Linked DNA regions of Cricetulus griseus. The protein of the gene in region 3 purifies or fractionates together with the protein of the main gene of each other region. This does not show direct contact. Links are inferred from orthologs where the notes say so. Each region holds a gene or a part of one and is shown on either strand. Other genes may lie near its edges. The genes, in order: Itga3, Itga6 and Cd151.

What was found.
Region 1: the proteins of Cd151 (region 3) and Itga3 purify together in Homo sapiens (co-immunoprecipitation; 4 studies listed by BioGRID and IntAct, with this or other methods). This does not show direct contact. The link is inferred for Cricetulus griseus from reciprocal best matches to the Homo sapiens genes CD151 and ITGA3.
Region 2: the proteins of Cd151 (region 3) and Itga6 purify together in Homo sapiens (co-immunoprecipitation; 3 studies listed by BioGRID and IntAct, with this or other methods). This does not show direct contact. The link is inferred for Cricetulus griseus from reciprocal best matches to the Homo sapiens genes CD151 and ITGA6.

Annotation. Positions count from the first base shown.
Region 1 is NC_048600.1:108,238,803-108,242,453, forward strand, and holds part of Itga3 (integrin alpha-3), read right to left. Parts: coding exon 3,633-3,651; intron 3,181-3,632; coding exon 2,984-3,180; intron 1,633-2,983; coding exon 1,544-1,632; intron 1,445-1,543; coding exon 1,308-1,444; intron 1,140-1,307; coding exon 1,053-1,139; intron 214-1,052; coding exon 146-213; intron 54-145; coding exon 1-53.
Region 2 is NC_048599.1:103,379,721-103,384,123, forward strand, and holds the start of Itga6 (integrin alpha-6), read right to left. Parts: upstream 2,805-4,403; 5' UTR 2,578-2,804; coding exon 2,396-2,577; intron 1-2,395. UniProt on the Homo sapiens protein: Integrin alpha-6/beta-1 (ITGA6:ITGB1) is a receptor for laminin on platelets. Integrin alpha-6/beta-1 (ITGA6:ITGB1) is present in oocytes and is involved in sperm-egg fusion.
Region 3 is NC_048596.1:59,713,145-59,715,344, forward strand, and holds the end of Cd151 (CD151 antigen), read right to left. Parts: coding exon 2,167-2,200; intron 1,943-2,166; coding exon 1,838-1,942; intron 1,752-1,837; coding exon 1,593-1,751; intron 1,467-1,592; coding exon 1,380-1,466; intron 1,297-1,379; coding exon 1,237-1,296; 3' UTR 526-1,236; downstream 1-525. UniProt on the Homo sapiens protein: Structural component of specialized membrane microdomains known as tetraspanin-enriched microdomains (TERMs), which act as platforms for receptor clustering and signaling.

The DNA.
Region 1 (3,651 bases), on a different chromosome or scaffold from region 3:
TCGGAGCCTGGGTGGACGGCGGTCCCGGTCAGCCTCCAGTGTGTAAGCCAGGGCTGCAGACAGACAGACCGGGCAGTCAGCAGGAGCCAGGTGAGCATCTTCCCACCATCCTTCCCACACGAGCACCCTGTGCCCAGCAACTCACTGATGTTCCGCCTGTAGTTGGGGTTCCCAGCACTCTGGTTGTAGGCAAAGCACAGCTCCACCTGAACACTGTTGGGGGTACGCATAGCAGGGCCTGGTCACAGTGGGAGGGACAGCCATGTCCTACTTTTCACTCTTATGCTAGACAAAGGGAACTCAGGACCCTTGTGGGGGAAAGGTGGGAGCAAAACTGGGGAGTCTACCAAGCTGTGGTGACGTCTCAGTTTTTAGAGGTCACTTGTGAGGAAACTGAGGTCCAGGGAGCAGGATTTGTCTGATGTTATCAGGCAACTGATGGCCCAGCCCAGGGTCTTACTTATGTCACCCATCCCCTGCTTTTCAGCTCAGTAGTCCCCTTTGCTATCAGACTGGTATCCACTAAAAGCCCTCAGGGTCACTACGATCTTTATCACTTTCTTCACAACTGTTTTTTGGACACTTAGGTACAGAGTACTGTGCTCAGGGCTTTTTTGTATATTATCTCATTTAATTATCTCAAGAACTCTGTGAATTGGTTATTACCTTTTATATGTTATCTGAGACTCCGGCTAATTATTTGCCCAGGGTGAGTCTCCTTCCCCACACCCATCTATGTAAGAGCATTCCTTTCCCCCTTCCTTTCAGCCCTCCCTCCCCAGAGTCCTCCCTGCTCTCCCCCAGCAATGAGTGGCTCGGCTTTGAGCCAGATGGTCCAGAGCTTCTGTTCCTAACCTTGTGCACACACTTTAGCTCCTGCAAGGAACTTTGACTTTAAAAGACATTGGTGAGGAAAGGTATTGCTGGCCCTAGACTCCAACTGCGGATGGTGGGACATCAGGAGTATCCAGGGGAAGGGCTTAGGGCCTGAGGCCTTGCTGGGCTGCCGAGACATGAGGAGTGGGTGGGAAGAACTGGGCTGACAGTCTCACCAGGAGGTAGCTGTACAAAGTGAGGGGTCCAACACAGGTGGCCTGGCCACCAAGCTCCTTTGGAGAATATTGATGACAGGTCGGGCCCTGTAGCAACAAGAAAGCAGGCAGGTGTTAGTATTTCCTGCCTACCTTTGGCCAGGGCTGGATTTCAGGTTTCTGTGGATCACTGCAGAAGGTGGGCAGGGCTGAGGCTCCGTGAAGATGAGGACGGAGGAGGGACGCGCCCCTGCCCACCGCAGTCTCCTAGCTCACCGCAGCAGCACAATGTGGTCCGACAGGCTCCCGACTAGCAGGTCTGGATACGAGTTGTCATCTACATCCATCTTCCCACTCAGAGAGTAGCCAAAGGTGGACAAGCCAGGCAGTCCTAGTTTGTCAGCGTGGACTATCTGAAGCCAAGAGGAAGTGATAGGGACAGGCTCTGAGACATGCTTGGAGGAGGAGGCCCCGGGGATAGGGGTATCAGACTCACCACCATGCATTCATACCTGCTGGGGCTGCCTGAGGAGGCCCCCGGAGCTGCTGTGGTAGATGTATACCCTGCCCAAGCCTTCAAATGGAGCTCCCACAGCGATGTCTGGGGAGGAAAGACAAAGCAGTCACCAGGCATTCCTGGTCCCCTAGCTCTTTCACTCTCTGCTGCAGGCCACCGAGCCCAGCGTGGCAGTGACCTCACCCTGGCAAAAGTGTTCCGAGCAACAGCGAACGTCACAGCTTCAGAGCTGTGGTGGCAATGGAGGTTGGGGAAAGGGGAAGAAACTTCCTCAAAGTCAGACAGCAGAGCTGTGCCCCACATTTCCCAACATAACCCAGTTTCCATTTTTTCCTGTCATCCCATCCCCCATTTCTCCAGACACCTTGGTTCTAATGACATTTTCTATCAAGACCAGAAAAGAAGCCACTCTCCTTCGATCACTGCTAGCACTCAGCATCCATTTCACTTAAGCCTTACAGGATGCTGTGGGAGTATCTACTATTATTTATCCCCTTTATAAATGAGCAAATCCCAAGGTCACACAGCCAGGAAACTGGATTATAACTACAATACTACATTGCACTTTGTTCAGTATAATGTCAAGGTTTTTAAAAGGCTAGGCAATGTTTCCTCAAGCTCAACACATTTGGCGATCTCAATCTTTGTGGACTGGTCTGCTACATTTGATCTGAGAAGGCCTGGGTAACTGTAAAGGAAGTCAGGGAGAGTAAATGGACCCTAACCTGAAAACACTGACCCTTCTGTGGGAAGTGCTTGGGCCCTTTGGCTGACCTTTCTGGCGTCCATTTCTGCCTCTTAAGAGCCTCTGCCTTTCCTTTGGTTCTCAGCTGTGTTCTGGGAGACTCGGGTTGTCAGAGAACTGACGTTTGGTAAGCTAAGTGCTCCCTCAGGAAACCGGCTCATACCCTAACGTGTCCTCCCTGTGACTTCTCCCCGGGTCCTGCAGAGCACCTGCAAGGCAATGCCACTAAGGGTCCCTCCTTGTTCCATCCCATTCTCATCACCTGATATGGTACATCCCTGATTCCACCTCCCTAGGTTTCCCTCCCACAACCCCCCAGAATCACCCTCCAAAGTATCAAGCCTTCAGATAAAATGCCTGCCCCAACAATTTCTCTGGATACCTCCCCACCCTACTCTCCCTATGACCCAGATAGAAAAGCCCCATTTACTCTGCCCGGCTTTCAGAGCATTCGCCAGCCTGTCCCCAGTGTGCACTTACATTGCAAGTTCCTATACTCATGCCCATGCTATTTGTGCCTCTCTTCTGTGCACTCTCAGCCCAACCACTTATCACCCACTCTAGGCGAGCCTCTGTAGCATCCTCTGCACGTCCTGCCTCGTGTCCCTTTGAGCTGTGAGTCCTGTTAAGCCTGGGGTGCACTTGGTACTCAGTCAGTGAGGGTGCTGAAGGAGGGGCACAGGCTCATACCCTGGAATCCATCCTGGTTGATGTCACCAATGCTGGCTATAGAGATGCCAAAGGCAGAGCGACTGGGGCCATGAAGCAGGAGGGAAGGTTGATCTGGGAAGGACGTGCCTGCCTGGTTCATGAAGACATAGACAGCACCCCCTACCTCCTCTTTCCGTTCAAAGTAGTAGGGTGCACCCACCAGGAGGTCCTGCCACCTGCACAAGAGAAGAATGGGATGGGAGTGTGAGGTTGGCCCCAGATAAACAACATAACTGTCATTTAATGACCATGATTTTGCCAGGGCCATGCAACTGAGCAAATGACACACCTGACCACAGGCCACGAGAAGGCCAACAGGACCCACCAAATAGAAAACTCATGTCATGGAGAAATCATGCAGGCAGACATCACACCCAAAAAAGATCCTCCTGCCCCATTGGCACCTTACGAATGATAGGCATGAATGGCAGGTAGAGACAAGCAAGCACGGGGGTCATGCAAATGACATGCAAATATCCAGACTCCCAGAAAGTGTGATTGCAAGACCCTGAAAACAGCAAATGTGTGACTGCAAAGCTACTACTTCTCTGACCGAGCTTGAGCAAGCCTGCTACCCCCCCTTTCCCCCTGGCCCCAGAGGGTATATCCCATGTCCTTAGATTCTTACCCATCATTGTTCAGGTCTG
Region 2 (4,403 bases), on a different chromosome or scaffold from region 3:
GTAACCATGCATTTATCTGATATTCCCACATACCTTCTGTCTCAAAGACACTGTTCAGGAAGTTTGCTTCTGCAATGACTTGAAGCCTGAGGTAAATTAAGTTGCTTTGGAGTTCATAAATGCGACCAAGAGTTTAGGATATTAATTACCCAAGCAAGGGCCTTTGGTTTTAATGTGAGGCAGTCTGAGAATCACAAATGCTATGTAGTGCCAGGCACCTATCTATCATAGTAGGCCCACAATTTCTACTTTTAAATGCATCACCATCAACATTTCCCATTTAACCAGCAGGTGTCCATGGTGAGGGGAGGGGGGAAGACACTGAGCAGTTTGCATGCTCTTTTAATCTTCACAACAACCCAAGGAAGCAGAAACATCTCCACTCTACAAGTGAAGAAACCACAGCTTAAAGCAAATGAATAGCGGCAGCATAAATGGCCAAGAGGAAACTAAATTCAGCTTTCCACATCTCTCCCACCCCAGCCCCACCCCCTAGTCCCCTGAGATCTTCCCAATGAATTTGGAAACTGAATCCAGTGAGCCGTCAGTCAATGGGGGTGATGTGGGCTGTGTATGCTGAGTCTCCTTAGACAGTCTATGCTACTCTTGAACCTGGGATGCTTTGACAGGTGAGAGGTACTAGACAGAATTCACAGCTTCCTGAGCTACAGTTTTGGGTTCTAGGCTATAACACAGATTCCCTTACTGTGGGTCTCAGCTGAGGGTCTGCCCAACTACTGCCTTCTACAAGCCTCCATGGAGTTTGTAGAAGGTGTCCCGGGCCTCAGCCTCAAGAGGACCTGTAGCAGCTGTAATAAATAGCAGAGCAGCCCAGCAGCAGTGACAAGTTTTAGCAGGCCCAGGGCTGCTGCCTTGATGACAACAGAGACTCCTGGCTAAAGGCGCAATTTGCAATCTCCATCCCAAGGACATTTCTTGCTCCACTTATTCCCCATTGCAATGTCTACTTGGAAGCCAGTCTCTGTGGTCTCTGATACAGGGAAATTGTCCCTCTGTTGGCCCACAATCACTTCTACACTAACAAGAGCAAATCCTCCATGTGGGTAATGTGTGTCTGTCACACAGTGTTTTCAGACACGAAATGTTATCCATTGGGTTAAAGAAAGAAAAAAAAAAAAAACCTTTCACTTCAGATTTACAGCTCACCAACAATTATTTCCGAGAGAAAGTAGACTCAGACCCTATCCCTGCCTGGGACCATCCCACCCGCAGTAGATTTCTCTGCTTCACCTAGCAGGTGTCGTCAGAAAAACCTGACCTTAAGATTCAGAAGTCCACAATATGCATAAAATTCAAAGTTGTTAACTATCTGAAATCGGGGTTGTCTCTAGGTTAAAATTATATTGGCCTCTCCCTCCCCCTTGACTGCACACTGCCCTCTCCGCTCTGCTGGTCCTGGAAGGACCTGGGTTCAACTCAAGGCCTGGGAAGGGAGGAGGATCTTTTGTTGTTATAAAGGGCTTCGGGAGCATGGATCAAGAATGCAGCCCCACAGCGACTGAGGCAACCAAGCTCCAGAAAATCTTCCTTGATCAAAAGAACTGGGTCATGTGGGAGCCAACACTGTTTAAAAGGGAGAACCAGTCGCTTTCTTCTGGAAGAAGCCCTAGTGGGGGATGATTGTCACTTCCGAACCTTCTTTGCTAAGGCCCTGCTCAGATGGGTCACTGTGGTCTAACTCCTCGGTGGAGCTCACCCAGTACTGGGGGCCATGAATTATTGGGTGTTGCGAAGGATCAGGGAGCTGAGAGGGGGAGCTAGCACACCGCTGAAGCAGCTTTTTTCACAGCTGATCTAGCCTTGCGGAACAGGTGCTTTTTTAAAAGCCAGTGAAAGTAGGGGATCCCACTCTGCAGAGAAAGTAACACAACAGCTAAAAGTGGCTTCCCAACTTCCGCGGGGCGCGCGAGCCAGGGAGGGGACAGGAGGATCGGAGAGTTTGAGAAAGGCCTGGATCTCCCTGAAAGACTTCCCGCAACCCAACGTCCCATCACCGTCCCCGGCGCACGTGAGGCTCAGCAAAGCGTGCCACCTGCCGGGGTCCGTGCAAAATAAGCCAGGAGAGAAGAACCGCGGAAAGCACTGGGGTGGGGGCGGGGGGGGTCCCGAGACAGGGCCTGGGGTCTCCCCACGGTTCTCCTCGCTCCTCGGAGGCGCAGGGCGCAGGGCGCCGAGGACGCGGCTGGCCCGGCCCTGCAAGTCTTGGGCCGGAGAAGTGCAGGCGGGCAGGGCAGGGCAGGGCAGGGCAGGGCCAGGCAGGGCTGGCCGGCGAATGGGCTCTGGGCAAGCGGGACGGGCGGCAGTAGGGCGCGCCCTCGCTCCCCCTGGCGCAGCACGGCGCCTGGGTTGGGGTGGGAAGAGCCGGGGAACTCACAGCCGCTTGTCCTCCGGCTGCAGCTGCCGGTGCATGGCGAGCGAGAAGCCGAAGAGGCTCCCGGGATCCCCCGATTTCCGGATCACGTTGTCCTCACGGGTGTCCAGGTTGAAGGCTGCGCCCAGACGGGCCAGAAGCCCTGCGGACAGGTAGAGCAGGCACAACTGGCCCGCGACCGCCATGGGCGCACGCGATGGGAGGGACGCGAGGAGCTGCTGCAGCCACCGTGCGCGCGGGCTCGGGGCCGGGGCCGGGCTGCCTGGCGCGCCTCTGCGGCCACTTAGCCTCGGTCGCCCCTGCGAGCGGCCCCACCCCCGGCCGGCTCGCGCTCTCTGTCCAGCCGCTCCCCCACGCCTGCAACTCGCAGCCGCTCAATGAGCCCGTTGTTCTCTAGAGACTCTCAGGCGTTTTATCAAGTGACGAGGGCGCCGGCCCCGCCCCGCCCCGCCCCGCCCGAGGCCCGGCCCGCCTAGGGCACCTTCTTGCTGGTCCCGCCCCGCAGCCGCCCTCCCACCGTCCCGCCACCTGCCCGGAAGCGCCCCCTGCGTCCGGGAGCCCAGGAATGCTACTCAGGCGTCTTCCTACCTGTCACCGAAGTGCGGTCCAGGGCGCCTGAAGCCGACAGTTCTCGGAGCTTGGGCCGATGTGCACAGTCTTACTTGGCTCATCCATTCTGCAGGGGTTCAAGATGCACCTAACCATGCCCAGCTCTTGAGGATGGATTGGAGCCACATACTTGCTGGCTCCCCATGGACCCAAGCGTCGAAAACGTGGCACTAGCAGACTTCGATAGTGCTGTGCTACTTAAAAAAAAAAAAAAAAAAAAAAAAAAAAAAAAATCACAGCCGTCTATTTTGTTCAATCTTAGGAAGTGGTATTCTTTTGGCAAAATAGAAACTCAAACTTGCTGACTGACTCTGAGTCCTTCGATGTGGGGGCCTGGAGTTCGGCTATTGTCCCGTTTACTTACCCAAATTTCCTGGTTTAGTTAGAAGGAGAACTACCTAGAGATGCTCTTAGGTCCATGTGGGTGGCTTGAAGGCTGTGCCATCTGGGCAGAGGGTGGGGCTTCCAGGAAGGTGTTGATTTTTGAGGCATCCTTATTTTAGGATAGAAAAACTTGTTTCAGGGACATGCAGAACTTGACTGAGAACAAAATAATGTACATTTTAGTGCGTCCCTCCCCCCACCCCCAGTGTTTCTCTGTGTAACAGCCCTAGCTGTCCTGGAACTAGCTCTGTAGACCAGGCTGGGCTCGATTCACCTGCTGGCTGGAATTAAAGGTGTGCCCATTTTTATTACCCTCTGACATTTAGCACTTTTTCTCATTATGATGTTGGCAGAAAACCACAAAGGCAGGAGAATATGTATCAAAAATCCAATCATCAAAAGAAAATATTGTTTTCTCCAGGACATTTGGTTGTTCCACATGTCTCAAATTACAGTTGTTATCATTTAACCCTCTGCTAGATCTTAATGTATGTCAATAAAGAAGCAACAATATATTACTATAGCAAAAAAATGTTAACTTTTTGAGATTTTTAAAAATATAATTGGTTTTCTTCTAAAAAAAAAAAAACATATGTTGGCTGGGCAATGGTGGTGCACATCTTTAATTCCAGCAGTAGGGAGACAGAGGCAGGTGGATCCCTGATGAGTTTGAGGCCAGCCTGGTCTACAGAGTGAGTTTCAGGACAGCTAGGGCTACACAGAGAAACCCTGTCTTGAAAAACCACACACACACACACACACACACACACACACACACACAGGATTTTCTGTACTTGAATAATTCAAAATAGTTTTAGTTTTACTATATACTTGCCAAATAAAAATTTTGTTTATTTAATATCTCACGGTTAGTTGGTGTCTCAGGTTTTTATTGCTGTGAAGAAACACCATAACCACAGCAGGTATTTTATAAAGAAAACATTCAATTGGGGTGGCTCACTTACAATTTCAGAGGTTCAGTCCATTATTATGACAGGGAAGATGTCATCGCACAGGC
Region 3 (2,200 bases):
TCCTAGGTAGTTGCAGTAAATATCTCAGGGTTCTTTTTTTAGCACATTGATCCCACTGAGATTTTTGTTGTTCTGGGTTTTTGGTTTTGTTTGACTGGTCTGAAACTCAGCAATCTGCCTGCTTCTCCTCCCTCTCTTGAGTGCTGGGATTAAAATGAATCGCATGCACACACCCACGCTAGTTTTTAAAGAGGAGAAAGTTTTGCCTTAGACTGGAGTCAGGGGGCCCCTAGGACTCCATTCCTCCAGCTAAACTAAACAGCATAGGACTACTGGGGACAGAGAATCAGCTCTTATATTTTTGGTTGTGAGCCTAGCCTTTAATGGCTGAGCCCAAGAATGAGCTCTTAAGGTACATTCTGAATATGAGCAATCCTTTGCCTGGCCAAATCCAGGCCACAGTGAGCTGGAGGCTCACCAGCTACCAGAGGTCAGCCTAGCTGCCCTGCTACTAGGCTTCCCCATCTTTGACTCTTACGAGTACTCCAGCTACCCTGGACCCTAAGGTCCTGTCAGCAAACTGACTCAACTGTTCATATATTTATTGAGCACCTGTTACAAAGCAGGAGCATGTGTGGGCATCAGGGTTACAACAGTGGATGGAAACAGCCATACCCCCGTTCAGAGATGTTCCAAAAGGAGACAGTATATAGGAACATGGGGCATTTGCACAGTGTTATCAGAAGTGGGGGAGAGCCAGGGCTGAGGATGTTAGGAGCAAGAGAAGCCTGGATGGAAAGGACGGCATATACAGTGAGTGGGGTTGGAGTTCCCCTCGGGTTGCCCCATTGCTTTGGAGCAAGCACATCTGAGTGTTCCCAGCAGCAGGCATGAAAGGTACCTAGACCACCCAGAATGGCCTTTCCCACCTGCTTCTACCCACCATGCAAGTGGTAAACCCATGTTCTCCCCCAACACTTAATGCAAATCACAGCTACCCAAGGAAAGTAGCCTGTGGGCAAGAGGCACTTTTGTCAAATAATCTAAACCCAATTCTACCAGGTAGGCCTAGCCCAACACTGGCATACCTGCCCCCTCTTATCCTGGGGCAAGTACATTGCCTCAAGCCTTGGTACTTTGGTATGCAGTGAAAGGCACTTGAAGCTACCCCTGAGGTGGGGTTGTAGTGATGGCATGAGGACAGCTACCTCTCTGGCAGTCAGCAGTCTAACTCAGTAGTACTTCGTAGTGGGGTGGGACATAGTGCAAGGCTGGCAGCCTGGCCTGGCACCATGGTCAGTAGTGTTCCAACTTGAGGCTTCTGTATAAGCAGCAGGTGAAGATCATGCCGAAGACCTGCATGGGACCAGGCTGGTGTAAAAAGGCTGTGGGCCACCAGCCACCCCAGTGTTCCCACCTAGTCACCTCTGTTTCCATACCTGTACACAGGCGATGCCGATGCCCACAGCCCCAATGACCCGCAGGTGCTCCTGAATGAAGGTCTCCAGCTTACTGATACAGCCACCCTAGTGGGGAGAGAGTGGTGGACCTTGCTGGCTCCCATATGCAGCCCTATTGGACCAGGCTGCCCTAAGATGTAGCCAGACCGGAGACACCCAATCAGTCTAGCCCTTTGCTCAGCACCCACCTACCTCCACTTTATAGATGTTGGAGGCATGGTCCCGCCTACCACAGCCAGGTACCACAGTCTTACAGCAGCTGTCAGGAACCACACGGTTTTCTGCCTCACCAGAGCGGATCCATTCACTGTCTCTCCAGTCTTGAGAGTTGTTGCTGCCACAACAGTGGAACTGCAAGGGGGTATGTGGCTGAGCCCTACAGCCTGCCAACATATAGCTCCATACTGGGAAAGTGGAGAGTTATAGGGGACACCCACCTCTTGCTGTAGCTTATCTACAGCATTAGTCACACCCTTGTGGCCTGACTGGTGGTATTTCTTGGTCATGGTGTCCTTGAGATTCTCCTTGAGCTCTGTGTTCAGCTGTGGGTAGGATCAAAGTCTAAGACCCCCAAGGGCAAAACTAGAGTCAGGACCCCCAGTGGGACTGACAAGACTAGAAGAGCCACCAAGTGGGCAAGCAAATGAGTGACACTGTCAACCCCATGCATACCTGCCTCCCCATAAGTCCCAAAGCAGCCCTGGGATCCACCTGCCTGTGTGCACACCTGTTCCAGACGTACCCCATGTCCAGTTCAGGCCCTTACCTGCTGGTAGTAGACATAGGCCAGGATGCCAGCA